Linked DNA regions of Lonchura striata. Each later gene encodes a partner of the first gene's protein in a complex. Links are inferred from orthologs where the notes say so. Each region holds a gene or a part of one and is shown in the gene's direction. Other genes may lie near its edges.

Evidence for each region.
Region 2: the proteins of ACSS1 (region 1) and SIRT3 are in contact, whole or in part, in a crystal structure (PDB 3GLT), measured with the Homo sapiens proteins. The link is inferred for Lonchura striata from reciprocal best matches to the Homo sapiens genes ACSS1 and SIRT3. Residues at the interface, in NP_115890.2 of Homo sapiens: Ser640, Gly641, Lys642, Val643, Met644, Arg645; in NP_036371.1 of Homo sapiens: Gly145, Ala146, Gly147, Thr150, Pro151, Asp156, Phe157, Arg158, Ser159, Glu177, Phe180, Gln228, Asn229, Ile230, His248, Ile291, Val292, Phe293, Phe294, Gly295, Glu296, Pro297, Leu298, Gly319, Thr320, Ser321, Leu322, Glu323, Val324, Glu325.

What each region holds. Positions count from the first base shown.
Region 1 is NC_134605.1:19,102,320-19,117,316, forward strand, and holds the start of ACSS1 (acetyl-coenzyme A synthetase 2-like, mitochondrial), read left to right. Parts: upstream 1-7,936; coding exon 7,937-8,231; intron 8,232-11,421; coding exon 11,422-11,518; intron 11,519-14,997. UniProt on the Homo sapiens protein: Catalyzes the synthesis of acetyl-CoA from short-chain fatty acids. Acetate is the preferred substrate. Can also utilize propionate with a much lower affinity. Provides acetyl-CoA that is utilized mainly for oxidation under ketogenic conditions.
Region 2 is NC_134608.1:53,251,190-53,265,508, reverse strand, and holds the start of SIRT3 (NAD-dependent protein deacetylase sirtuin-3, mitochondrial), read left to right. Parts: upstream 1-11,319; 5' UTR 11,320-11,410; intron 11,411-12,541; 5' UTR 12,542-12,686; coding exon 12,687-12,733; intron 12,734-13,001; coding exon 13,002-13,234; intron 13,235-13,351; coding exon 13,352-13,452; intron 13,453-13,699; coding exon 13,700-13,861; intron 13,862-14,181; coding exon 14,182-14,319. Other genes in the region: PSMD13 (26S proteasome non-ATPase regulatory subunit 13), read right to left, coding at 4,516-4,611, 5,344-5,460, 6,129-6,209, 6,923-6,985, 7,480-7,605, 7,692-7,771, 8,278-8,449, 8,982-9,068 and 5 more.

The sequences.
Region 1 (14,997 bases):
GTGATGAGTCAATCTTTCCATAAAAGAGAGCAAGAAACAACATGAAGGGATTCCCACACTGAAGATAGATTAGAAAGACGGATTTGGCTCTTCCTGGATCTGTCTGATCATTCCTGCTTTGAAAAAAAAGTGCCAACTGCTTCCACTAGAGAGCTGCAGGCTGCTTCTTGCCTTCATCAACAACCTCTAGGGATGGAGGGGGAAGAAAATCCACACATGGGCCATGAGCACCATGCTGGGGGGTGATGGAATAGATTTCCTAGCACTAGAGACACTCCTTTCTGGAGGACCAAGAGCATTGATAAGGATCTGACTTTTCCCTTGAGGACTATTAAAAAAAAAAGGTTAGTCAGGTGTCCCCAAGGCGTGATAAAGGTGTCTTACAAGAGATTTCAATATCTTATTTTGCCAGAAAAGAGGAACACAGCCTACTCCTGAAGGAATGAGATTATCACAAAGCACAAAAGCACACAGCAGTAACAGCAGTGAATACCACATACACGATTCATGAGCACCGCATCTCAAAAGTTTCTGATTCCACCTATATCTCCATGAGGATGCTCCTTATGAGCTGGCTGATCACTGGCACACAAACAAAGAAAGCCAGAACATTAACACATCATTCCTATTCTGCCCCTATTTATTGTCTCAAATAACACTGGAATGTGGTGACACACTGACACTCATGAGATAGGACTGATGCTCTTCAGTTAGAGCACCTGTACAGGCACAGCACCACAGCACCTACGAGCTGAGGGAGCATTAGCACACCCTGTGGCACACCACAACAGGAAGCTAAATTCCACTCATAAGAAGTCTCCAGGCTGAAAATTTTAGTTGTGACTCATTGAGAAGTTTATTGCTGAAAGGCAACATTTTCAGTGACATTACAAGAAATCCATGTGAAATGGTAGAATAATGAAACCTTTCTTTCTATCAATCAAACCACCTTGCAAACCTAAGAAAATTCAGGCCTGGTTTGAATTGCTTAGAAACATGATACCAAGAGGTATTGAAGTCCCCATCCCTCAAAACACACAGTGGGTCTTGAACTTGTCATGCAAGTAGCTGCCAGAGTGACAGTGTGACTTCAGTGCTTCGTGCAGCATTCTGGCTCCCTGTTAAATCCTAGATGCACGTCAAGGTCATGGTGTTCATCTCGAGAGTCCTCAGTGGGTCAGCCCCAGGTTACCGGATACCTCCTCTCCTGGAACGCAGGCAAAGCACGACTACGGACACATGCAGCAATGTCAGCTCGGGCGCCACCAGCAATACGGACACCACAGCAGGAGACTCTGAGCCCCAAAGCTTCAGGAGACACAGCACGCACACAGGAGCACCATTTCCACCCCGCCAAAAAGGAGAAAGTCTCAGCCTCCTGCCTGAAACCCGAACACCGCGGAGTTATCCCACCGTACCGCACAGAAGCGCTGCCTCCCCAGAGAGCCCCACGGGGCGGGCTGGCTTTCCCGTGCGGCCGGACGGCAGCCGGTGGCCCCGGGCAGGGTGCCGTGCCCAGCCCCGGGCGGCACATGTCCTGCTGAAGCGGCCGGCACCCGCCGTGGCTTCCCCTAGAGCCCGGCCCGGCACAAGGCCGTGGACGCCTTCGCACCTGGGCCCCCGCCCGACACCGGGACCGGCGGCGGCGTCCCCCGGTACCGCCCGGCGGGGCCGCTCCCTCCGGCGGAGCCTCTCAGGGCTTGGGGCGCCCCCGCCCCTGCCGTGCACAGCGCAGCAAGGCCACTGCCCGCCCCTCCCGCGGCGGCAGCCCCGGGCATCGCCGCGACCCCCGGGCCCGGCAGCAGCGGCGCCGAGGTGCGGCCCCGCCCGGCCCGGCCCGGCCCGGCCCTGCCCCGCCCTGCCCTCACCTCGGGCCGTCCCGCCTCCCCCCGCCGAGGAGGTGGCCGCGTCCGCCCCTGCACTGCAGCTGCCGGCACGCCGCCCCCCCACTCCTCACCGCCCCTCTCGGCAGTTGGTTCGCCTCACCCGGCCCACCTTCTCATTGGTGGCACCGGGCCGTCACTCCGCCGCTGGCCCGCCCACCCCCCATGGGCACGCTGGGAACCCGAGTCCCGCGCGCGGGACTCTCTCCCTTCGGCCGGAGGCACAGGGTGGGGCGGTAAACTACAGCTCCCGCAGTGCCCCGCGCGCAGCCCCGGCACGGCCCGGCCCGGTGCGGTCCCCGGTCCCGCATCTCGCGGGCCGCCAGCGGGACGGTCGCTCCGTCCCTCCCTTCCCCACCCGTGCCCGCCGCGGCGCGGCCCGGCCCGGCCCAGCTCACCTGGCCCCGCCGCCGCCGGCGCCTCCCGCTGCGGCCGGCGCAGGCAGCGCATGCCCCACGCCCTTCAGTGCGGCTCGTCGGGCGCGGTGCCGCCGGCCCGGCGCGCTGCGGCTGCGGCTGTGGGACGGGCCTGCCCCGAGCGCATCCTCCCTCTCGGAGCCGCGGCGGGCGGCGGGATTCGCCCACAATGCACCGCGCGCCGCACCGACAGCATCAGCCTGACATCACCCGCGGGCCGTCCCCGCCCCGCCGGGCCCGCCCCAGGCCCGCCTCCACCGTCAGCAGGCACCGGGCACCGAGTGGCGGCACATGCGGCTGGGCGCCGCAGCGCGCCGCCGCTCCGCGTGCTGGGAAGCGCACTGGCGTGGGACAGGGACCGGGACCGGGAACAGGAGCGGCACGGCGCTGCCCCGCCCCGGGACCGGGACCGGCATCGGCAGTGCCATCGCAATCGCGGGCCCTGCCAGGACGGGGACTGGTGCTCGTCTCCGCGCTGGTGGCATCAGCGCTGGCATCGCCAGCACGGCCCGGGGCACTGCACTGCCCTGGGACTGGGGCCAGCGCTGGCACAGTCTTCGCAGGGCCGGGTGACTGCACCGTTGGGACCAAGGCCAGAGCCAGCACATCTGCCTGAGGCTGGACTTTGCATTGCACACGGTCTGGCAGCGTCACCACTGTGAGCCCTTGCTGCCCTGTCCTGGCAGTGGAGTCAGCCCAGCAATGCTGACCTGCAGCTTTTTACTCCAGTCCTCTGGGGCCAGGGCCATCAAGGGACTGGTGCATTACACTGCACTGCAAGTGGCAGCATCACCAGTCTGGCCAGGACACTACACTGGGACCAGGACCAGCACCATCAACACTGGCTGGGACAATGCACCACTAGGATCAGAACCATCTCACATCCATTCAGAGCCAGGTCTTGCCCTGCCAGGGCTGGGAACAAAACCCAGCAGCTCACAGCTGGGTGCAGCACCCAAAAAAAGCATGCAGCCTGTCCCTGGGCACTTTCCCTGTTCTACATCTGAGGGGTACATCTGTGCCCCTGCTCCAGAGAGGTGCCTTTCTCCCTGCTCCAGCTCACTGCGAATCACATTGTACTTGAAGAACAGATAAGCACGTGGCTCCTACAGAGCTGTGCAATACTTATGGCTGTGCCTTCTTGTTCCCTTTTCACTGCAAATCATCCATATTCATGCCTCTGTCCCAAAGTGTGGATGAGCACTGTTCTGTGCCTTATACACCTTCACAAACCACACTGCAAGGGACACTGCTGCCAGGCCCTCCCTGCAACACACTGGTGCCTTCTTCCTGTCCCCATCAGAGTGTCCCTGTCAGATCCAACCTGGTATTGATCCATAGATGGAGGTTCTCATTTGTCTTGTGAGTGGGATGTCACACCAGCTTCCACAGGGCTGCTGTGCTCCCCCATCCCTTGTGGGACATACCTCCCTGCCAAGATTTTCCCCCCAACCAAAGCAGTCCCTTGGGGCCAGGGTGATAAAGAGGAGATTTGTTGTGACAAGACAGACATGCTTGTGCCAAGACAGACCCAGCACAACCCTGGCCACCCCCAGCCACTCAGTTCAGGGAGAAAAGGGCTACCAGGCCCCCACAATGTTCCTCCACTGGCTGGAGCCCCCTACATTGAGGACTTGCTCTGTGGAAACATTCCACAGAGACTCTAGGGAATCTCTAGCCCTGTAGGAGCTCATCCTGCAGTCCCAGGGGTTAAGACACCTGCAGGTGCACCTCATTCCAAGGTTCCTGTTACTTCAGGTATATGATTGAGAGATGATTGGCAGTTGCCATGTGGGCTCTCTGTGCTGCAGGTCAAGACTCCACCACTTGTATTCTCAAGCACTGGTTCACTGAGTTGGAGAGGCAAAAGAAGTGGGCAAACCAAAATTAGGTGAGGGAGATGGTTTTCCCCAGGAGATTGTCTTTACTTCTCAGTATCCTTCAGATCTCTCTTTCACAGTGCTGCTGGAGCACCAAGCACAGACCCAGCAGTAAATTGGATTGAGCAATGGTACAAACTGGAGGGAATGGAAGGATTAGATGCTGGAGCCTTGGTCCATCCTCAGGCTGGGCAACCCCAAGTGCTGCTTAAGGGGAGATGTGGAGATTCAGCAACAACTTTCTGGAACAAAGCACATAGCAAACCCAGTGTGGGCTGCTGATGCAGGAGAGGAGCCAAACTGGGGGGGAAGTTCTGTGTTGATGGATGGCAGCAGCAGCACTGAATCCCCTTGGTTTGAAATCCAGCCTTGAGCAGAAAACTCTTGAGAATGGGACAGCTGGTTGCCTCACCTGTACAAAAGCAGTCTAGTTATCTGGATATTATTAAGTATTGTTTTTCTCCCTTATCACTCATTGGGCATTTATTACACATTCATAAATGGAAGTGCAGCAGATCTACATTTTTCACACAGATTTGACCTTTGTTTCAGGTGCGACCACATGTGAGCATATCTGACAAAGTTTCACCTTCCAGATTAGCTCAGGTACTCAGCTCCTTAAAACCTGTTGCAGTTCCCATTGCTTTGGACACAAGGTCCATGTTCATCTGTTAAAGTGGCACCTGAGCAACTGCATTTTAGCTTTATTTCATCCTTGGTCTAAACCTCCCTCTAAGCCTGCTCTTCTGCAGATGGAGCTGAATGGGCTTAGAAACCTGCTGGAACAGCCACCTGGGAACATGTCCAATTTAATCTGCAGGCAGAAATGTAGCTGAAAATGATCAAAAGATTTTATTAAAATCTGGGTTAATTGTGACTTGGGAGAATTTCTAACACAGACCAGTGTGTACTTTTGCTCTGTGGTGGGGTTTTTGCCTGGCCCTGACTTTCTTTGTAGAGCCAGGTATCAACTGTGTTCACAGCATGTGAGAAGACCATTAGAAAGGACAGTTAGGAGCACATCAGTGATAACCAAGTGAAAGTTGTGGATTCCACAACTTTACTATTCCTCTTTTTAGGTCATTAAGGGGAAAACGGGGGAAGGTGTGGGGTGGGGGGAAGAGTGGTGGGGTGAGCAATTGAGGAACATAGACCTCATTGAGTAGGTCTTTGATATATTGACAGCAATCGAAGAGAAGGCAAGTAAGTGGAAAGATGTGGAAAGTTGGGGGGTTTGGGGTTTTGGTTTTTAAAGTTTTTTTGCTGTAGTTCTGTCAGCAGAAATCTCAGCCCCTACTCAACCCACTACTGGCATTGCTCATCAGTGCCTGCCATGACACCAGCACAGAAGACTCTCAATCCAGGCCAAGATCTGCAGCTATTCAGCAGCTGTGCCCATTACCTGCTAAAATCTCCTGCAGGGCAGTGAGATTGCCTGGCTGGTCTGGGAGACTGTGCCAGGAGGCTTGGCTGCATCAGGGAATTATTTCTTCTGCCCTGGCAACCACATGCCTTTGGAAGCTGCCACACAGAGGTGGTATTTCCAGATGACAGTCACCAGGCTTCTCCAGAGCTGGAAATGCCAGCATTCCTGTTGGGACTCCATAATGCCAGGGGGCCCTAAGAATGGAGAGAGACACAGTGAATGTGGGAAGCAATTCTGTGACCTTTTATCCATCACCAGCTTTTCCTGGCACACTTAAAATACTTAAAAATGAGAAATGCTGTAACACTCCTTGGTTCTCAAAAAGTCAATAGTCTAATGTGCCAGACTTCACTCTCTTGTTCAGGAAGTCATGGGTAGAACAAGTAGACATTGCAAAATCTCAGAGACACTTTTCCCCCTCTCGTTATCTATTTTTGAGGCAAGGAAGGAGATTTGGGCTTGTGCTTGGGTTCAGCAACCCATTTCAGTGGGGTGATCAGACTGGATTTGGGTTGTGTTACTGCTGGCTATGGTTTTCTCTGAGGAAAAAGGCAGACAAAATTTGAGAGCAGGGGACGTTTTGGTAAATCATGAGTAAAACAAAACCTGATGGTAGAAAAGGAGAATCAGCCTTGGTGGAAGAAAGCCCGAGAAGTGCTCCCATATTTCAAGGTGTGCAAACAAAGCAGGTAAGCTTTAATGCCAAATAATTTAAATTCATGCTTTCTTTTTTTGACAACTCAATTGTTTGTTCGTGAAAAGCATTCCTCTGAAATCCTGAAAGGGGTAGGACTTACACAGAAGTCATCTTTGTTATAAAACTTTTGAGCAATCCTTGGGCAAACCAAGTGAAAGCTGAAGTGCTCTCCGTGCCCCTGTCTGGCACCAGGTGGCACACGTGCTGCTGTTTGGAATTTAGAGCTAGGGCAAACCGAAAGTGACAGTCAAAACCCAAGGTAGTGATATCGAACTACAGCAGCCATGTACTAATGCCAGCTTTACAAGGAAATTAAAATTGTATTTATTCTTGCTTGTTACCTATAAAACACAGTGGAAGGATCAGTGGTGTCAGAAAATCTCACACAAAAATCACAAAAAAGCACCTGGTGATATATTTAGAACAGAAGACCAACGTTTGTTTCTACCACTGCCAGAAGAAGCTTCATAGCATTTAGAGTTATTTCAGGCTTTTAATCTTGAACACGAAATGTGCTTTGCCTACCCAAACCCTGGGGGTGAGTAGAGTTTGTGCTCTGTTAGTTTGGCACTTCTTAAGGATGCTCAGACCATGCCACTCTGAGCTTTTAGACTCCATGCTGGGAAGCTGGACCAAGGTGTCTAAAATAATTCATTTCTTTATGCCAGAAAAGGTCATGTCTCTGCTATAGACAAGGAATAAATTCTGTGCTACCTGCTGTAAAACCCTGCTACTCATTGTTGAGGGTTTGCATCATGAAGCCAGGGTGAAGTCTGGTCCGTAGATTAAAATGGAGGAAGAAGTGCTGTGATATCAAAGCCAGGAATTCCACATTATGATAATGATGGTGCTCACATGGCTGCCAAGATAGGATGTGTACCCCGCTTATAGACACCCCATTTTGAGCAGAGGGGGCAGGGTTATGACAGCTTTGTGGATAGTGGTGTACAAGGACACAATGTGTTTGCCACCTACCCACGAGCACAAGTACTGTCTGTGCATGAGGATCGTGCCACTGCGCTTGCTTTGTGCTGTGTCCGGGTGTGTGGTGCTGGGCACCGCCTGTAGATACGACAGCGTGTGTGTGTGCTGAGAGCTGCTTTTTATGTTAAAAGGCCTGGCTGTACCTGGGCACACCTGTTGTGGTGGTGAGGATGTGAACAGGGGTGCACCCCGGCCCGCACATCCGTGCAGGTGATAACCCCATAGGGGAAAGTGCTGGGTCTCTCTCTCCAGGTACAGGTGTATCTCTCGGGGTGCTCGCGGGGTGCGGGGTGTCCCTGGGGCCGGGGTGCTCCCAAAGGTGTGGGGTGTCCCCGGGCGCGGGGCGCTCCCGGGGTGCGGGGTGTCCCTGGGGCCGGGGTGCTCCCAAAGGTGTGGGGTGTCGCTGGGTGCGGGGTGTTCCCGGGGATGGGGGGTATGCGGGGTGCGGGTGTCCCTGGGTGCGGGGTGCTCCCGGGCTGCGCGGTACTCCCGGGGACGGGGTGTGTGCGGGCTGCGGTGCTCCCGGAGCCGCCCCGCCGGGGCAGCCCCTCCCCGCAGGCGGTCTTTATCTCTCGCTCGCCCGTTCGCTCCCTTTCGTTCTCCCGGTTCGGGCGGGCGCGGCGGGGACAGCGGCGCAGGGCTGTGTGCCCATGGCGCTGGCGGCCGCCCGAGCGCGGACTCTGCGCGCCCTCAGCCGCCCGCGCCCCCCGGGCCGGGTCCCGGCGGCGGCCCGGAGCTGCTGCAGCCCCGCGGGCGCCCCCGGGGCGCTGCCGCCCGGCGAGTACCGGGCCTGGCGGGAGCGGGCGGCCCGCGACCCCGCCGGGTTCTGGGCGGACGTGGCGCGGGGGTGGCTGCGCTGGGACAGTCCCTTCCACACGGCCTGCCAGCCCGAAGCGCCCGCTGGTTCCGCCCGCTGGTTCCTCGGCGGCCGCCTCAACGTCTCGGGTAAGGGGTCCCGGCCGCGCATCCCCCGCGCCCGGCGGGGCCGCCCGCGGCTGCCACCGGGCTGGGCGGGAGGCGACCCGCGGGGCGAAGTTTCTCCATCGCCCGTCTTTGGGGGTAAAACCGAGGATTTCGGTTGGGCGGCGCAGGGAGGAAGCAAGCCAGGAATTGCGAAATGCTGGAAACGGGGAGAAAATCCGAAGCTGGGATAACCCCGGCTAAGCCTTTTGCTCGGGCACTACCTCACGGGCGGCCGCCCTTCGACCTGCGGAGATGGGCCCCGGGATGGGATGCCAAATTTGGGCTCTGCCGGCTGCTGCCCGGCCCCGTGGTGGCTGAGGATGATCCACAGGTGGGGAACGGTCCCAGACTTTTATGGCAGGGATTTTTTTTTTTTTTTTTTTTCTTTTTAACGAGGATCTTGGTATTTTCCTCCAATTTCACCTCTCAACATGAAACGAGTGAATTTTGCCGTGGCTGCCCTGAGTGCATCTGAGTTTTGTCCATGCCGTGTCTGCCCTGAAGGCTCTTGTGTGCTGCGGCTGTGCTTTGTCCGGTGGGAGTGAGCCCCAGCCCCATCCAGGGTACCACTCAGTGGTGATGTCTTTTAACAGGGACGAACATTTCTGACCTTCATTTCCTGTTCCTCGGGGAGGACGCTGGTTCACTAGTGCAGTAACTGTAACATCTCTGGCCACTTTTTGTTTGACAGCCAAAAGAGGAAACCCTCCTCAGGTCTTCCAGAGAGCCTAAGAGAGTGTCTTCACCCTGGGGGTGGGTGATGCCCGGCAGTGGATCCCAAACTTATGGAGATATTTGTACAGCCCTGTGCCCAGCAATCAGCAATCAGAGGATTTTAGCCAGGATTTTGTTGTCATTAATTCCTGTTGAAAGGAAGATCTTGTCTGAGCACAGCCTATCAGGGATCTATTTCTTTCCTCTGTAGTGTGGGATCAACAGTTTCTTCTGGATCTCATGCCAGATCTTTGATATTCAGATATTGCTTGGCCTTGGGTCTGGTTCCTCAGCAGACAGAAAATGCCACTTAGCTTTTTTTTCATACATAAAAGGAAATCATAGACCTTTGAAACAGATGCACAGAATTAAACAGGTTTGCTGTTGCTGGTTTTCTTTTCAAGCGTGATTAAGGCAGTACTTTGCCACAGCCAAGTGGCTGTTTTTCTGTTAGGAGACTGTGATTTTGTCCTTTCACCTCTTGATTTGAACACAGTCTGTGTAGAAACATAGCAGCAGTTCAGGTCCCTTATCCAGAGCATCATGTGTGCATGTCTCCTAGCACAGCTGAACCGTGAGCAACTGAGTAATCTGATGTTCTTTGCTTGAGAGCCCTTGCAGTAGGATTTTGTGGACCTGTGAGCTTAAGGGCTTCTGGATTTCTTGCACTGTACTCCTGGTCAGGAGAATAACCTGGCAAACTGCATTTCCCATCAGGACACATTCTCAGGAACTTGTCTTACTGAGATTAATTGTTTCTGAGCAGTCAAGGAAGCAAGAAAATGTATTGAGAAGCCACTAGGGTGTAGTAGTAAGGGAAAGGTCACTAAATTCTATTTTGTAAAATGAGCAAAAGACTCATGTAAGCCTAAGATCAGGAAGGAAATAATAGCAGTTGGCTCTGGTTCACCTGCTGGTTCTTACAGAGCGCAGAGCTAAAGCTCCTACTTGGTTCAGCCAGGGCTTCCTGCAGCAGAAATTCCCTCTGAAGGCCAGTGTGGCTGCTCATGAGTAGGAAAAGTTGTTTGGGCAATGAATGCCATTTTGTGATTCACTGTAGCATGGCACAGTATGCGAGGGTGTAGCTGTGAGGAGCCTGGAGGTGGGAGTTGCTACTTGTTGTGAACCAAGCCACAGCAGTAAACACAGGTAGAAGAAATTAGTGTATAACTGCTTAAAAATTCCCCACTAGGATTTTTGTCCTCTTGTATCTTATTAGGATGGCTTAAGAAATGGCTTTGTCTTATTTTTATAGTACTGCTGCAGGGTTTTACATTAAAAATAAAAGACTGTAAACAGCTGGTGCTTTTTTGAATTTTTGAGATTAACATTTGGTCTTGCAATAAAATGTGTTAAACTCTGAGGAATTACTTCCTCTGTGCACCTTTAGGGGCTCATTCCCATCCCGTGTGATGGTGTGATCACAGAACAACCAAAGCTACTACAGCACACAGTTTTTTTAAATATATCTGGAAAAATGAAATCCTTTCCCATCAGTATTAATATTTCCAGGAAATATGATTTGAAATCCAGCATTTTTTAAAAAGGTTTTCTCTGAGTTATACAGCAGTGTCCCTGACTAGTTGCCTATTGAAATAAAGTAATTGCCTTTGCAAGATTACAATGCAATAAGTAAGTGTCATGTAGACTTGGAGTTAGTACTTAACAAGGATGTTCTCTGACTATCAGGCAAGTTGCTACTGGACATGCAGGCAAGTTTCTTTTGTGGATTCTATACATTTCTTCAGATTGGGTGCTCTCCCTACATCCTCCACTTCAAGATGCTGAGGGGGAGAAATGCACCTTTAAAAGGGAATTTTATGCCTTTAAATTTTAGGAGATGGAATACACAGCCTGAGACACATTAATCTTCCTATGTGTCTGATAACTTGTAGATGTCTGAACTTCTAGTTTACCATAGATCCTACAGTTTTAGACATTTTCAATTAGCTGAGATTCAGCTCTTTGTTATACCCTGGAACAAAATGTTTCACGTGAGCTTTAATTAGAAAATCCAAATGGTGCAGTGCTAAATATGCCAGCTGGGGAAGACTGTCCGAGTTCTGTAGTGAAATGCTGCTCTGGGGAGAAAAAACATCAAAAGGGTATCTTGCCTTTGTGCTGCTGGGAGCAAGGGAAAGATTTGGGCTGGCTTAAGTTTAGGCAGTGGAGCTAAATGGCTGAATTGAGCCATGAATTCAGCCCATACCTGAATTTGCCATGGCCTCTCATGGGTATCCATCTCTAAGGCCACTGTGCCAATTAAATGTAGAATTTGTTGTATAGCTTTACTGGAGCTGCAAATGCCTGTTCCTCTGTTATACATTAGTGTGTGTCAAGCAACCCAAAAACTGATGTTTCATCTTGCACTTGCTTGCTGTTGCACTTGATCAAGCTAGGTTTACAAAGCACCTTTCATATGTTCAGGCTTTGTTTAAACCTTTGGGTTTCTTTACAGTAAATTGCTTGGATCAGCACGTCGAAAAGTCTCCAAACAGAGTGGCTTTGATTTGGGAGAGAGATGAACCTGGCACTGCAGTGCATGTCACATACAGGTATGGCACCTTCTCACTATGCCTGGCAGTGTGGGGGACACAGGAAATGGGATTTTTCCACCTAGCAGTTTCCTTTTTGCTTGCTGGAGATACACATGGGAAAATTTCTGTGAGTAGCTTCTGGTTTCAGAAGAATAGCAAACATCTTGGTGCAAATGTCTTGTGTTGCTAGTAAACAGCTTGATACTGAGTCCTGGCTGGAGGGGATTTTAAGTTCTCCATGTTTCTCTTTCCCATCCTCACTGCAGTTCAGAGTAACTTTGAGACTGCTCTGATTGACACTGATATGTAATTGATGCTACAGATTGCACAGTTTGTTAGAGTAGGGCAGGTTTAAGCATATTTCTCTTCTCCTTGCTATATGCCCTCGTTTAGGAGACAGTCCTGCCTTTTACATCATCTCTGTCTCTAGTGAGATTTAAATGTTCCCAGACTTGTACATTCCTCAGTGCATGTTTTAGGGAGCCAGATCTTTGAGCTGCTGAATCTCAAGGAGCCAGATGTTTGTTCTGCTAGATCATAAAGCAGAGGAGATGAAGAATGTCCCTAGCATCAGACTTTTACAGAATGTTTTCTGCAACTTGTTGGGGTTCCTAGAGCTCCTTGGGTCTGAAAATGTTCTAGTGGTCTGAGTCATCTCCAAAATTTATGAAAGCTCCTGGTAGCATTATTCATTCAAGTGAGGAAAGTGGTCAGCAGGGAGGAGTGGGTGTAAAAATAACTCTGAGAGGTTAGTGCTCCATGCAACAGAAAGAAACGCTGTCTGATATAAATCTATGAAAGGAGTGCATTGTTTTTTATCTTGGTATTGTTATTTGGCAGGGTGCTTAGGCCTGTTATGATATAAATATGTTGTAATGATCTGGGTAGCTTGTCTAAGTGCTTTTGCATTTTGCCATTCTGGTGGTAAACATGGAGATGAAACCAAAGGTTTCTCCCCGAGTTTATGCATGGTATGTTTTTCTCCCAGGTTTGTGCACTTTTACCTCTCTCTTTATGCCTCAGGCATGAAAACAAGGGGTAAGAAAGAGGTGACAATTGTGCTCAGATCAACATGACAAGAGAAGCAACCCAACAGACAGCACTGCCTTATTCAAGGCAGCTCTAACCTCCCCCTTAGGCCGCTACTTGAAATGTACTGAGCTGCTGCAGACGCTCAAACATCTTATCTGCAATCTCTGGAGATAAGGGACGGCCTTTCTGAACAGCAACAGGACTGTTTTTTTTCCCTGGCCATGCCCAAGTGCGTTTGGAAGAAAGTATATTTTCAGCCTGTGGAATTGTGATTGCTGTGACATGAAAACAAGTAACCCATATCTGAAAACTGAACCCTTTTTTGTGCAGCCTTACAGAGATACAGTAACTGGTATCAGAAAGGAGAACATCCAAGTGAAAGACGTATGGCAATCTCTATTTTCAAGCTTCTGTCTGTATTTGAGAGCCATGTTTCTGTTTATGCCTGATACTGTGGGTCAGATGTGATTGCATTTGAGTTTCTCTAGAGACTTTGGTCCTACCACGTGGTAATACAGGTCACTTGGTTCTCTGCTTATCTCATTAAGGCAGGAATAGCTTTGTTGAAAGCAGCGGTACTCTCTGAGTATTTTGCCTTTTCTGTGGTCTTTGGGCTGCATTTTTACAGGTTTTATATGGGTCAGAAAGCTTTTCCTACAGTGTGTTAGCATTAGCTTCCCTTTGAGATAGAACTTAGTTGAAAACCTTTTTCAGTAGTGCCTTATTTGAGCTAGAAGTTTTGTGAGGGAAAGCAAATCAGAGAAGGAAGTGGCCCAGGAGCTGGGATGCTGGTGGTCCTTGGTGAGTCTTCTGTAGCACATACAGCCTCAGAGTAAAGGGGGAATCAGAGGGATGCTGGACATGTCTTGGCAGAACAGAGATGCCTCTTTCCTTAGGATCTGGATGCCCTGTTAATGGCACAGTGGCCTTAGAGTAAGGACTTAGCACTGTAGGAAAACAAAGACTTTAATTTGGGCTCTGTCTTATGGACCAGCTTCGAGTGAGGTCGTGGATACAGCTGGGAGAGAGCTGTCCAGGGCTTATGTGCAACATTGCTAGGCACCGTTCTGCATTATCTACTCTGCAAAGCTTGCTGCTGTGAGCTGCTTCTCCTCAAAGATAAACCCTGGGCAACACAAGGAAAGATGCAGCTGCTGGCCTGGTCCTCTGCCTTCTCCTCTGGGGAGTTGTCAGGGACAAGAAAACAGCTGAGTGCTGGCCTTGTTCCCATTGCAGCCTGCAAAGGAAGAAGGTGGATGTGCAGGAAGAGGGCTGGAACAGGAAAAAAAACCTTCATCGGTGGGATGTCCTCCATGCACTGGCAGGAAACACAGCTGCACTGGAAAGTGCTATCCCAGCTGGCTCATCCTTGGCAGAAATAAAAGCCTCAGTTTGCCTCTGCTGTGGGCAAAGAGCTGGTGGGCTGTGCCATCCAGTCAACCCACATCCCTGTGCACACTTGTCAGCAAGGTGGGTTGTAATTGTGCACCAGAGTTCAAGTGCTGTATGCTAGGGGAAGAATCCGAACATCTGCTGGTGGGCAAAGATACCCAAAGCCATAGGTGAAACACTTTATTTTTGCACCAGGAGATGATGTCTGCCCTTACAAGCTTGGTTGTGATGACTTTTTTCATTGCTGAGTTTTGTCCTATCTCTCTAGCTGATGCAATTCGGTCTTGCAGGAAAAAAAGTTCACTGGCCATTCTTGCTTCTTCTTCCCTGTGGGTAGAAATTTAGCTGAGTTTCAAATTATCTCTGGTTTTGAATGGGAAGGCAAGAGACTTGTTTTTTACTGCTTTGTAACAACAGGGGATACAACCCTCTTGGGCTTTGGTGGCTGCAGTCAGCAAAGTGGGGACAGGTCATGCAAATCAGTTATCAAGAGGCTCTCTGACTCTCCTGAGGCTAAGCCACCAAAAGCTCATTGGTAGGGCAGTGGCTTAGCAGCACTGTGGTGCTGTGAGCTGACAGCTGAATTAATTGTCAGAAGGGTCCAACCAGACCAGGAGTGTTTTGTCCTGCTTTGTGGATATTGTCAGGGCTCAGGGCCTTTGAAACCTTGCAGAGGAATTCCCCAATGCATTGTGAGCCTGGGTTTTTAAAGGTACTGTACCCTCTAAAAGCAGGTGGAGATAGTGGCCAGAGCTGTTGGGTTGCAGCCTCTCTAAGTTCAATGACAGGAGGTGTTGAAGACAGCAGCTAAAGTTATGCCAGCCCTCCTGCTCTCTGATGTGGAGTTATTTATTCTCTCTGGTGTTCCCTGGTTTACAGTTTATCCACCTGTGACCCAGTGGATCTGCAAAATCTCACGGCTGTTGTCAGTGGGAGCTATGGGAATTGGGCAGCAGAATGCTTTAGCTAACCTGTTTTTCAAAAGGGTTCCAGGTCTCAAAAGAAGGATCACTTTGGTGCAGAAAACATTGTTGCCAGAGGGAAAGCTCAAAATGCAAAAGACAAACTAGGGA
Region 2 (14,319 bases), on another chromosome or scaffold:
AAGTGGATCTTGCCTTCTGTCCCGAGGCCGGGCTGAGCCTGAGCAGGCGGAGGGAGGCTGCTCCAGGGAAGGACGGAAGTTGCCCAACCGAGAAAGAAGGAAGGAAATCGCTTTTTTTCTTTCGTCTCCTTAAAAAGAAAAAGTTGGAAAAATGATCCTGGACACGCAGGTGTTTGCCCAGCTGAGCTGAGTGCCCGCGGCAGTCCCGGGGCTGCCCTGTGCCTGGGAAGGAGGAACTGAAAGAGGAAGACCAAGCTGGATGAGTTATATTCCCAAAGCCGCTGGCAGGGAGCCAGCGCACCCCACTGACCTCCCGTGGCCCCAGCCACGCTCTGACCCTTCCCCTCGCCTCTTTCCAGGGAGGACAAAAATTCCATCTGGACTTTGGCTCTGGCATGCCTTTCCAAGCCACTTCCAGCTGGTCCCATCCTGGTGGGTCAGGGAACCAGGGCTGGAGCTGCAGCCAGGTGCCACTGGGTGCTCCAAGCCACCGGCCCCGGTGTTCACCGGGATTATTTTATTGCCTGATCCAGCATTTAGAGGATTGGCATAACACATCTGTCCCGCACTGTAAATCCATGGAAAAGCCCCCATGGGTCAGTCCTGCAGCTGCCAATGCCCCAGGGACACCTTGGGGACACCCTGACAAAGGGCAGAGCTTAGCAGTAACACTCCCCCCTCTACTCCTTTGGTATTCCAGGGTCTAATCCCAGCTGGGCCCCAGCAGGATTCATTTCCCCTTTGGTTTGTTTCTCACAACCAGCTGCTGATTCCAGCACAGGCAGAGTCCATGACATGGGCAGGAATATCCATCCTCTGGAGAGCGGGTATCCATGGGGATTCTGGGGCATTGGAATCCCCTCCAGCAACCACCAGCACACCGGGACAAGCAGTTTCTTCCCCAGCTGATCCCAGTGGCAGGCATCCATCCCATTTCCTTCCCTTTATCAGAGGAATTTGGAAATAGCCTTTTCCAGAAAGTCCCTTCCCGCTGAATGGTGCTTTGAGTGTTAAAAAGTTTATAAAAGCCCACAGAAGAGGAGGTCCAAGGAGAGAGGAGCTCTGCTCCAAAGGAAAAGTTTTGCTCTAAGGGAAAAGGCCCCATCCAAGAGGAGGTCTCTGCTCTCCAGCAGAACATCTCAGTGCCCCCCTGCACTGGCTGGGGACAGTTTTTAGTCTCAGACCCCTGGGCAGTGCTGAGGGGGAAAAAAAAATCCCAAAACAATTAAGGGAAATAAAATTAAGCAGAGAGCAATTTGAGAAAACCTGTCAGGCTGTTCCTCCCTGTGCCTCTGGAGCTGTGCCAAGGAGTGGCAGGGGGTGGTGGCGGCAGTGACAGTGACAAGCTGGGCAGCTGCAGAGCGAGGAGCAGCGGGATCACCCTGAGAGCGCCATGAGGGGTTTCCAGAGGGGCTCCCAGCTCCTGGCAGCTGCACTCCGGATCAGCCGGGTCCCCCGGGCACAGCTCCGCTCCCACCCCCCCGAGAACATACTCTCCACTGGTGTGAGTATCCTGGGGGGCTGAAAACGTGGGAACAGCCCAGTTGGAGGGGCCCAAACATTCTGTGTGTCTGGGCCAAACTGTTTTGGAAGGGGGTGGAAGCAAAAGGGGAGGGGGAGGAAAAGAAGGAATGCACCCTCAGGTTCCAGCCCACACCCCCACGGTGTCCATGTCCTGCTCCCCCCCTTCACCGGCTCCTGCTTCCATTTGATTTTGTCCTTTCAGCCCTTTTTTAAACCTTTGAGGTCTGGGGGTCCCTGCAGCCCAGGGCAAGGGGCAGCAGTGACACTGGTGGTCCCTCAGGGCCACACCCAGACCTCGGCCCCTATTCTGGGACCATCACCCCAAAGGGGTGTCCCCACAGGCAAGGACAGGAGCTGCTGTCACTGCAGAGCCCAAGATCCCTCTGACATTCCCCCTGCGGGGACAGTCCCCCCCAAACCAGACCCTCCCAGGCTAGGTAAAACAAGCTGGGAAAAAGAAGTTTTCCCCCAAAATTATGCCTGATTCCCCCTCCACCCCTTAATTTGGGGTTTTCCCTCTGCTGCCTTTCCAAGGTCTTCAACAGAGGAGCTGCAGGAGCCTGGGAGAGGCTTTTTCCAGGCAAATAAATCAAAGGAAGGTGCCAGTGTGGGAGGTTAACGCTGTCCTGGTTGTACTGGGGAAATGAGGGGCTGCTGCTGGCTGCAATTCCCATCCCAAAGTCACCTGAAAGTCAGGAACACTGCAGGCCCCAGCCACAGCTTCAAGGTCAAACACTGCTCCAGTGTCCCGGAGGAGCAACAAACCTGGAGAGCACCAGCTCCATCCACTGCCAGTGGGAACAGCTCTGCTCCCCAAACCTCTCCCCACAGCCCCAGGGCAAGTGCCAAGGACTGGGAAGAGCACAGGGAAGTGAGCTGGGTGCCGGGTTGGACGGCAGCAGCGCAGCCATCCCGGGAGCCCTGTGAGCCATCCCACTGATTCCTGCTCCTTGTCCCCCTCAGGAACAAGCCATCGCCCTCACCCTGATGTTCACGTCCTTCCTGGTGCCCACAGCCTGGGTCCTGAGCAACATCTACAACTACAGGAGCAGGCCTGAGTGAGGAGTGGCAGGAGCAGCCTGCTCCCTGCTGAGAGCATCCCAAGGGCTCTTCCCTCGGGCAGAGCCTCACCATGGAACCCCCCGAGCCTGCTCATTAAAATCCATCTTTGCATTCAACAAGGCCTCACTGGGCTTGCTCCGTCCTGTAGGGAACGAACCGGACCTGTGCCTGCTGCCCTGATGGCAGCATTCCCTCAAGGGCTGCCAGCAGGTCCCAATGGGAAGGCACATTCCCTCTGGAGCCTCCACTAGCTGCAGCACTGCGTGCACCCAGGCACCTCTCCCAGCACAAGCAAGGAAGCCATTCCAAGGTAAATTCCCGGCAGGAAAACACCCAAAGGCTGGGAGTGACATTAAAAGGGTGCCACAGGCTGCGGGCTGCACGCCTGCCCACTCCCTGCCCTGTAGGAAGGGCCTCTCCAGCCACCACATCCCAAATGACCTGTGCCAGGGAAGCACCCAGCACGTGGAAGGTTTGGGTAGCGAGGGGTACTTCCAGGTGTCTTGGAAAAGCCTCTGGAGCTGTCACAGTTCTGCAGATCTGACCCTCATTCCCAGGAGCTGCTCAGAGCTTCACGGCCAGGGGAGTGCTCCCACAGCACGGGAGATGTGCTCCTGAGAGAAGCTGGTACTGCTTCCCACAGTGATATTCCAGATTTTGGATGCTGATCTCAAGCAGCAGCAGCCCCACAACTCAGTGACTCCAGTGGAGTTTCCTTTGTTTCCTAAGTGTAGTGACAGCCCTGGGAATGAGGATGAGATCTGACATGGCACTGGGAAGGAGACTCTGCTCCTTTAAAGCTTCTCCTGTCCTTACCTATGAAATAATGGGAATATTTTCCTGATTGGAACACCTACTTCTTCCATACGCTTTCCTGAAGTCACTAAAGTGGCACCAGGAGTAAGCCTTGGAAGACAGGATGCAGCAGGAATTGGTCAAGTCAAATCAAGTGGCTGGGCAAGGAAGAGGCAGGCACTGGGCACAGAACAACCCCTCCCCATCCAGGAGGGAATTTCAGCCAGAAGGGCCTGGAGAGCAGCAGGAGGAGGGTGAGCAGGTACAGACTCCAGCAATTCCATTTTGTCCTGTTTTTCAAAGTCTGTCTCCTTTGTGTGAGGCATCTCTGCACCAGTCTGGCATCAGCCACATGCTCCCTTCTTTTTCTTGCTGGATTAACACCCTCAGTCAAGGCAGGAAAAGCAGGAAAAGTACAAAAATTCCAGCAGTGACATTTGCTAATGACACCAGAGAACCAAACTGGTGAGGAAAGCTCCTGAATCCCAGGAGTGGCAAGGCCTGACCCTGGAAACACGTTTTTAAAGGAATTGTCATCAGCTCAGCTGCCAGGGACGGAGATGACACAGAATTCCCAAAAAGGGAAGGCAGAGACGTTTATTCCGGCAATGCCACTGCACCTCACTTGGGCACAAAGCGTTGGTGAAAGACACCCACCCCCTCAAGTGTATGGACACACCCACTAACCAGGAATCCCGGGAAAACCCTTGGATGGAGCAAACACTGCCTCTGCTGCAGATGAGGAGGGGCAGAGGGAAGCAGGGCTAGGGGAGGAAGAGGATTTGGGGAATGCTGCCTCAGGCTGCTGCAGGGGCAGGGGGAGAGGGCAGCAGGACAGGCTGTGTCCCCTAAGGCCAAGGCCCCTTGGATCCTGCACTAGGATCCCACCCTCCTACAGCAGCTGGAGGCAGGAGGGATCAGGAATGATCCATCCCCCCAGGACGCAGCTCTGGGATCAGGGATCAGAGTCACCCGTGCCAGCAGAGGGAAAGCTTGGCTCGAGCACCAAAGGGTCACACAGCGAAAGGCCACGTCCTCGTCCTCCTGCTCTGCCCACCCACCCCTCCATGGATTCAGTACAGTCAGTGCTCTGAGTGCTGCTGGCCTCAGGAGCAGCAGGAATCACTCTCTCCTCTATGTCAGGATGTCGTGGGCTTGGTGCTCCACCAGCATTTCCATGCTCCGCACGTCTGTGCACCAGAACTCCAGGCGATCCTTCATCCCTTTGATCTGCAAGGCAAGGCCACAGGGACAGAGTGCCTCAGTTCCTGGGAATGCCCACAGGCTCCTTCCCACACCTGAGAGCTCAAACCATCCCTCAGAGCCCCACACACTGAGACAGGGAGATGCCCCATCCCAGGAAGTGTTTCAGGCCGGGTTGGATGGGGCTTGAACAACTTGCTCTAGTGGAAGGTGTCCCTGCCCATGGATGGGCTTTAAGGTCCCTCCCAACCCAAACCATCCTGGGATTCTGGGATTAACAGCTTCTACCAGCTGGCCTAAACTGAAATGCACCAAAGGAATTGTCTGCAGCTGGAATTCCAGACACTGATTTTTGGGTTTGAAGGTAAAGACACCCTGCACAGTCTCCTTAAGTGTTACAAGGATGAACTTGAGAAACTCAACAGCTCCATTATACCTTGGCCTTCTCTCTTCCCAAGAGGACTGTGCCTCCCACACCCCTGAAACTCCCAGAGGTTGTTTCATGCATTTGGGAATGAGGCCTGGATCCTTCTAGAAAACACAACCATGGCTTCTGTGTTCCATGGTGTTTGTGTGGCTTTCACAAGGGACTGATGTGCCAGCCCTGTCCTGTCCCACCTCCTGGAAGGTTTCTGGGTGAAACATCGGGGGCAAAGCCAAGCCCCCAGGGAGGCTCATTCCCAAGCCATGACTCATCCTGGCTCTGGTGTCACTCCCAGGTCACCTCTCCCTGACCCAGCTGGATCTGGTGGCCATTACCTGCTGCAGGTCCAGCACCCGTGGCTGCACCCACGTCATGTGCACCCTCTTGTCCACCTCGTCGATGCTGCCCTTCACCAGCCCCACCGAGAGCGCCTTCATCACCAGCAGCTCCACCTGGGGACACAGATAATCCTGGGAAATGACCCAGACCACCCCATTTTCCCTGAGATTAATAAAACTTGGCATCTTCACATGAGATCCCCTCAGAATCCAGGGCAGCAGCTCTCCCAGCTGTCCCCTTTCAGGTGACAGATCTGCCTTGGGACTCAGCACCTTGGCAAAGAGGAGTTCTTCTCCCTAAAACTGGATTTTAGGGTTTTTTTAGTTCTTTTTCCCCTAAAAAAACCTAGAGTTATTTTCTTTTCTCTGAAATCTAAGGAAGAACAAGGCAATTGGAAAAAGCCAGAAGAGCCCAACTGTCCCCAGGCAGCAGGTGGGAGCTGGTCTCTTCTCCCAGGGACCAAGTGACAGGACAAGAGGAAACAGCCTCAAGCTGCACCAGGGGAGGTTCAGGTTGAAAATCAGGAATAATTTTTTAATGGGAAGGGCTGTCAGGCACTGGAAGGGGCTGCCCAGGGAGGTGTTGAAGTCCCCATCCCTAGAGGTGCCCAAGGAATGACTGGATGTGGCATTCAGTGCTCTGGGCACAGGCTGGACTAGATTATATCAGAGCTTTTTTTCAGCCTAAATGATTCTGGGATTCTGTGTGGTTCAGGTCTACCCAGGCACTCTCAGAGCTCCAGAATCTGGACATTACCAAGGGTGCCTAACCCCAAACTCACCTCGTTGACGGTGACTTTGGCACTCTTGGCAATCTCCTCAAAGGTGAGCTGGCGGTGGTTGGCTGGACGGGTGAAAGTCATCTGGATCCAGGGAACAAACCAAAAAAAAAACAACCCCCACAGGGTTTTAGGGATTCCCACAGCTCACAGAGCCTCCCCCAAGCTGCCCTGCCCAGTCTCACTCTGCACTGGAAACTGCATTTCTCATGTTTATCAAAGTAATTCAAACAAGAATGTTTTACACTAGTATGGTGACAGCAGAGCCTTCCAGTGACAGGAAGGGACTGTTTCAGATTATCCATCAGGGAAAGGACCCTCAGTCCCTCAGGGAAACAAAGGTGTTGAACTCTGTTCTAAAAGTCTTTTCTCATCCTGGAACATACTGCAGACACCATCCCTGAAGGATTGCTCTTCCCCTCCTCCACATCACAGAATTAACATCTTCCACTATCTCAGGTTGCTCCAAGCTCTGTCCAACCTGGCCTTGGACACTTCCAGGGATGGGGCAGCCACAGCTTCTCTGGGCAACCTGTGCCAAGGCCTGACCACCCCCACAGGGAAGATATTCTTCCTAATATCCCACCTAACTTTCTGTTAGAGAAGCCATTCCCCCTTGTCCTGGCACTCCATGCAAGAGCCCTCCCAAACCTAGGGACAAGCAGCCCAGCATGAGGTGTTTTCCCTCATGGCACCTGCCTGTGCCTCCATCACCAGCTCAAATCCACACTGAAATTCCTGTATCCAGGAGTTCCTGCAGGTGAGTGACCAGACACACTGAGCACATCCCAACTCACCTCCATGAGACACAATAGCTGGATCTTCTGCAGCAGGAGTGCTTCGTTTGCAGCCAGGTCAGGCTGTGAGGAGAGAAAAGGCACCAAATCAGGTCAAGATTACATTTTTCTCCCCATCCTGGGGCAGAACAGCTTTACATAGAGGAATAAATCCCTGGGAGAGTTTATTTAAGAGGAAGAAGGCTACCACAGCCCACCCACCAGCCAAGAATGGTCCCAGAAAACAATCCAAGTGCCAGTGAACTCACAAATCCATTGCTATGCCAGTGATTCCTGGTGTTGCCAGCGCAGGTAACATCCAACATCACTGTTTCCCCCCACACTTCCCAGAACAGGAAGGAAAACCACTGTTTTCCACTGGAAGCACTCCAAAGAGAAGTCAAAAGAAAACTAATTATGTGTATCAAGATGGAATAACCACTCCTAGGCTCCGAACAGAATTGTACCAGTGCTCCAGAGCCAGGAATGAGGCAGAGGTGATTAAGAAAAAGTCCACAGACTCCAAGTGTCAGGTGGAAATCCCAAGCCTGAGCCTTTAGCAGTCCCAGAGCCCTCACCTGCTGCCCCCAGGCTGACTTGAGGGCCTGAAAGGTCTCCACATTGCCGCTGTTGAAGGCGAAGAGGGTGTCAATGAGCCACTGCCGGTCCGTGCTGCGCAGGGACTCCAGCACTGGGTGCATCAGCTGCAGGGGACAGGCAGGAGGGTGTCAGCAGGGGAAAAAAACCAGCTCCTGGGGCTCCAGGGATGAAGGGATGTGGCAGCACTCACCAGCTCCCCAAAGTTGTAGACGCCTTCTCCCAGCAGCCCGGCCAGCCCCAGGGTGAAGGCTCTCTCCTGCTGCTCTGATACTGGAAGAAAAAAAAAAACAAAACCAAAAATAATTTGGATGAAAAAATACCCAAACCAAACCCACTACGGATAAAAAATAAAACCAAAAGTAATTGGGATGACAACAAAACTCAAACCAAAAATAATTTGGATAAAGCACCACTTCAAGCTCTATCAAGCCATCCCTCACCTACATTAAACTATTCCCAGCTCTCATCTTCCCCCACGGCGCCTGAAATTCAGGAGCCTGCAGTAACCACAGCACAAAAGGGCTGCTTTTTTAATCCAGAGTGAAGATTTTTGGGAATTGGAACAAAATTGTACTTCTGGCAGGGGCATTCCCCCTCTTCCTCCCAGTACAACTCAGGAGCAGGTCCTTGGAGGTCACTCCTCAGTCCAGCCAGACCTCAGATCCACCACAGCACAGCCAAAACGACACAGAGGGAAAACCTCAGCCAGGGCATTTATTTGGGTTGGGGAATGCAGCGGAGTGTGGAAGGTGGGATTAGCCCTGGAGAGGAGTTACCTGGCAGGTCCTTGACCTCGATGCAGCCCAGGAAGCGCAGCGCATCCTTGTAGTAGGCGGCGTGGTTCCCCACGGTCTGGTAGTACTTGCTGGAGAGGTCGTAGAAGCGGCTGTGCACTGATGTCACCCCGGGCAGGGTGTTCAGCATCTCCTCCACCTCCTCGATGGTCTCCTGGGAAGGACAAGACCTGGCTCTTACAGTTCCCAGCTCTAAGGATGGCAACCTCCCCAAGGGATCCCTGGTGACATCCCAGGCAAGGCCACCATCGCTCCCACACCCTTCCCTGTGAGGAGGGTGCTGAGGCCCTGGCACAGGTTTCCCAGAGAAGCTGTGGCTGCCCCATCCCTGGAAGTGTCCAAGGCCAGGGCGGAGCAACCTGGGCTAGTGGAAGGTGTCCCTGCCCATGACTGGGTGATCTTCAAGATCCCTTCCAACCCAAACCATTCCAGGATTCCATCACCCAAACCCATCCCTCTGCATTTGCTCTAGGAGACTCAAAGCTGCCCTACCTGAAAAACATAATTTTGGGGTTTAATAGATGGTTTTAAAACCAGCCTAGGATGACAAACCCCATGTGCTTGGGGCTCAGGCAACAACACCACCACAGGTCCTGGCGAGCTCAAAAGTCCCTCAGGACCAGGAGCTGGGATAACCAAGAAATGCCACAGCACCCCAAAACTCCCCATCCCAGGCCACCGCTCACCTTGGTGACCTGCAGGTCCCCGATGTTGAGCTTGAGGGCCCCGATGGCTGTTTTGCACAGGATCACAGCCTCGTCACTGCTCTTCACCTGCAGGGACACAGGGACCTGTTCAGAGCGTCACCTGCAGCCAGGTGTGCTCCAGGGGCTGGACAAATGCCCCTTGTGACCATATTCCTGCATTCAGATTCCTGTGGAAAGGTGTTGCTCTCCAGCACAGGTGATACACGTACCAGTGACTCTTGGCTTGCTCAGAGGCAAAACTCACCAAGAGCAACTTCCAACATACCTTTTCCCGGGTCTTCTCCAGAAAAGTCAGGGCCACATTGGGATCTGGAGTAGAGGGAAAAACAGATTTAAATGAGCAGCTCTCATGGAGCTAAACCTCGCTTACCAAGCCACCTTTGACAGGATTCCTGATGACTGGAATATGGGTTTTCCATGGTGTACCCTCAGCCTGCAGCAGCTGCTGCCAGGTAAGCTGGCCTTTTCCCCACCAACCACCTCTCCAGAGAAGCTGTGGACTTCCTACTCCAGGAATCATCAATAACCTATGCTTTCTAAGCCAGCACTTTCCCTTCCCGACATAGCAGAAGCACAACACCTCCCCATCCAAGACTGGCCCATCCCTGGCCACATTCCAGAGGTCACAACAGGACAGGGAAGAGGGGAGGACACGCACCTGTCATCTGCCGCACCACGTGCAGGATAATCTCCACCAGGGACAGGGGGTTCACCCTGCAGAGAGCAGCTCAGAGTCAGCACAGGTCCCTCATACCCCTCAGGTGACCCCAAGCCCCTCCAAGTGACCCTCAAGCCCCCCCAGTAACTCACCTGTGCTCAAACTCGCTGATGAAGTTCTCGTAGAGCTGCAGGGACAAGGACAGGGACACTCATGGCAAAGGGCACCCGGGTTCAGAGCTCCTCACCATGTTTCCTCTCTATTCCAGCTCATTTGAACATCCCTGGAAGTGCTGGGCAGGGCTGTGAGCCAACTGGGCTAGTGGAAGGTGTCCCTTCCAGGGAGGGTGGAACATGATGGTCCTTGAGGTCTCTTCTAACCCACACCATTCAAATACCTCAATCCTATGATTATTCCAGAAAATCGGGCATCCCATAAAGAAAGTCCAGCACTGTTCAGAACCCGGAACTGCTAATTTTATCTAATTCTATCCCCATAAGCTTCTTGCAATGAACACCCATCCTGCACTTACTAAAATATGGAATGAAAAAAAAATCTCCTTGCAACTCCTAAAGATAATAAATTTAGGTAAGTGAAGTAAAGAATCACTGTGAAGCTTCTGAACCCAAGACATTTAACTTTAGCAGAATTTCCACAAAGCAGCCAGTGCAAACACCCCCGAAGCTGAACCCACAAAGGTCAGTAATCCTCCAAGAGAATTAAGAAAGAGAGAAGCCGCAGGCTGAGTTTTCCCTGGTACAAAACACCAGGAAAGCTGGGAAGAGTCGGCTCACCTTGATGAGCCCATCTCCCTGGGCGAAGCAGGGGTCCTGCACGAAGTCCAGCACCTGCAGAGTGAGCTGGTGCCACAGCCTGGGGACACAGAACAGCCCCGTGAGCCGCCGTGCCACGGCCCGGGACGCGCCCGGCAGCGGCTGACGGGGGCTCGGATCGGGGGCGAGCCGGGGCTGGAACCCCTGACAGGGCAAACACCGCCGGGTCACCTCCCGGGCGGCTACCGAGGCGGCTCAAGGGACGCGGGCCCGGGCGGGCCCGGCCGCGCGGGGCTCCGGGGCCCGGGACGGGCGGTCCCCCCGCACCCCGTCCCCGCTCACTTCTTGTTGTAGAGCTCCTCGAGGCGGTGCCACACGGCGGCCTGGCCCGGCCCCGCGCTCTGGCTCTGCTGCAGGAAGCCCGGCACGTCCTTCATGGCGGCGGCGGGGCCCGGACGGGGCCGGGGCCGGGACCGGGACGGGGCCGGGACCGGGGCGAGCAGGCCGCGCCGTGCCCGCTGTGCGCACTCACTTCCGGCCGCGCAGGGCGCGCCGGGTACCGTAACGCCCCGAGCCCGCCGCCGCCGCGCACTCGCTTGGCGCCGGTCCCGCCGCGCCCCGCGGTCGCCACGGCAACGCCGCCGCGCCGCCGACCGCCGGGCCTTCCCCCGCCGCCGCTCCCCGCGCCCGCACGGCCGGACCGAGCCCGGGCGGGGTGAGCGGCGGCGGGGCGGCGGGGGCGCGGCGCGCGCGCTCGCGGCAGTGCGGTAGCGGCCATGGAGCGCGGGGCGCGGGCGCTGCTGGCGGCCGGTGAGCGCCGGGCGCGGGGGGAGCCCCGGCACGGCCGGGCCGCCCCCAGCACCGCTCTGCTCTCTTGCAGCCCGGAGGAGCCTGTGGCAGCGCGGGCCCCGCCGCGGCGGCAGCGCGGCACGGGGCGGCGGGCACGGGAAGGGGCCGGCCGGCGGCGGAGCCGGGAGGTAGGTGGGGAATGCCCGGCTGGCGGCTGGAGCATCCCTGCGGGACGGGAGCGTGGGGATCGGGGCTGGGATGGGATGTGCTCCCGTGATGGAGGATGGCCCGTCCCCGTCTAAGCAGGGACAGCGCGCTGGGAGCCAGGGCTGGCCTGAGAGCCCGGAGAGCAGGGATCTGCCAGGGAAAGCTCAGTATTTTTCCAAGACTGTGAGTTCAGCTCCCCGGGAACCTGGTCTGGCAGGGCAGAGCCGTATCCTTGTGACAGCAGCTAAAGGCAGTGCAGGGACACCTCCCTAGGCAGTCAGTGTCACACATCCCAGGGAAGCCAGTGTTACATCCCTTGGAAGGCAGAGCCACATCCCTGTGACAGCAGGCTAAGGCAGTGTCACACCCCTGGGAAAGCAATGTCATGTCCCTGCAAAGGGACAGTCACATCCCAAGGAAGGCAGAGCTGACCTCTGAGGCCTGGAAACACTTCCAGCTCTGTCCTTGTTCCTCGGGCTTGCCAAACTCTCCTGGCTCTCCCCATGCCTGGTCTGGACTGTGCACAATGCCATGCTCCAGCAGCACTAATTTTCTGGGAGAAGCTGTTCCCTGCTGATAATGACTGTTCGGGAACTGCTAATGACTGTTCCCATATGACAATGGCTGTTCCCAGCCCAGCTGGGCACAGGGCTGTGATTCCTTTGGACAAGGACACACGGAGCCCAAGGGGGGAACAGGGACATGATAGTGTCTGTCACCTTGCTCACCTGGACAGGGTGACACATCACCCTGAGAGAAACTTGTTGAACTCAGGATACAGGAGGGTCTCCTGGATCCCAGGGGAGTGTAAATCAACACTGGGACTGGGGATTCCCAGTGTGTGGATCCAACCTTGTGTCCATCCCTGTCCAAAAATACCCCCTCACAGGAGGGCTGGTGACTTGGTATTTTAGATCCACATAAGGAATTGCTGAGGGACACGTCTGCTCCAGGGTTTAGGTTGGACTAACAGCCAAGCTTTCTCCCAGTGAAGCCCGAGCGCAATCCTGCCCAGAGAAGAGCTTTCTGTGGAATTTTTGGGTGATTCTTCCCCCCTGAACCAAAGTCACTGTCAGTTCTCTCAGTGCTGTGCTTCCTCCTGTGCCGAGCAGGACCCAAGGCTCCAGGCCCTTCTGTCTGAGCACAGCTGCCAGAGCCATTTTGGGCTGGTGGGGAGGTGATGAGGGGAAGCAGAAGCTCACCTTGAAGGATGTGGCCGAGCTGCTCCGGAAGAAGGAATGTCGGCGTGTGGTGGTGATGGCCGGCGCCGGGATCAGCACGCCCAGTGGCATCCCGGACTTCAGGTGATGCCTCCATCCTGTGTGTCCTTGGAGGGCTGAGGTTTTGTCCATGGAAAGGGTGATTAAACATTGGATGGGGCTGCCCAGGGAGGTGCTGGAGTCACCATCCCTGGAGGTGTCCTAGGAATAACCTTGTTGACAAGGTGATGATGCATCACAGGCTGGACCCGTTGATGGTCTTGGAGGTCTCTTCCAACCTCATTGATCCTGGGATTCTGTCTCCAGCCCAGATCCCACTGCAGCCCCTCTCAGCTGCCCCCTGTCCCCGCAGGTCCCCCGGGAGCGGCCTGTACAGCAACCTGGAGCAGTATGACATCCCCTACCCCGAGGCCATCTTTGAGCTCGGGTATTTCTTCGTCAACCCCAAGCCCTTCTTCATGCTGGCCAAGGAGCTCTATCCCGGCAACTACCGCCCCAATTCCGCCCACTATTTCCTCCGGCTGCTGCACGACAAGGGGCTGCTCCTGCGCCTCTACACCCAGAACATCGACGGGCTGGAGAGAGGTGAGCTCCCTCTTCCCATCTCCAGCAGCAGCAGCAGGAGTTGAGGGGAGAAGCAGGACTGGGGACATGCACACAGGGAGGCATTGGCTCAGTCCTTTCCCACACATTGTATTCCAGTGGCTGGGATCCCTCCTGACAGGCTGGTGGAAGCCCATGGCACCTTTGCCACTGCCACCTGTACGGTGTGTCAGAGGAACTTCCCCGGAGAGGACTTCAGGGTGAGTGGGCCCAGACGGGCACCAACACAATTAACACAAGGAGGCATTAATTATTACAGCAATGACAGGTCTAAACCTGCTCTTTTGCCCTTGGGGACAAGAGGTTTATGGAGGGGACCAGTTTGGGGCTGGGCATTGCTCTGAAGACATGTGGTGATTCTTAACCCCTGTGACAGGCAGGTTTGGGGCCTCTCTTTCAGGGGGACAGGGTCCCTTTGACAGGCAGTTTTGGGGTCTCTCCCTTCAGGGAGATGTCATGGGGGACAGGATCCCTCGTTGCCCTGTCTGCACCGGAGTTGTCAAGCCTGACATCGTGTTCTTCGGCGAGCAGCTCCCGCAGCGCTTCCTCCTGCACCTCACAGATTTCCCCATGGCAGACCTGCTCTTCGTCATCGGGACATCCCTGGAGGTCTGGGAATAAGGGAAAAACTCACATGGAAAACAGGGCCTGAAGGGACTCCAGAGGGGAGAGAGGGCTTAGAGAAGGCAAGAAAATGGGTTAGGGAGGTGAAATTTGAGGTGGAGGGTAAGAAATAGGGTGGAGGTGCTCTGAGAGACCCTCTGGAAGCCAGGTGGGCACCTGGAGAGCTGAGGAAAGGCCACCGGGTGACTGGTGGCACTGTGACCAGTTCAGAGCAGGGGGGGCTGAGCGGTTCCAAGCCGAGAGTGCTGGGCACTGGTGCCCCTGGCAGGGTGACTGTCCCCGTGCCCCCCGGGTTCCCTCCGCAGGTGGAGCCCTTTGCCAGCCTGGCCGGAGCCGTGCGCAGCTCCGTGCCCCGGGTGCTCATCAACCGGGAGCTCGTGGGCCCCTTCGCGTGGCAGCAGCGCCACAACGACGTGGCCCAGCTCGGGGACGTGGTCGGCGGC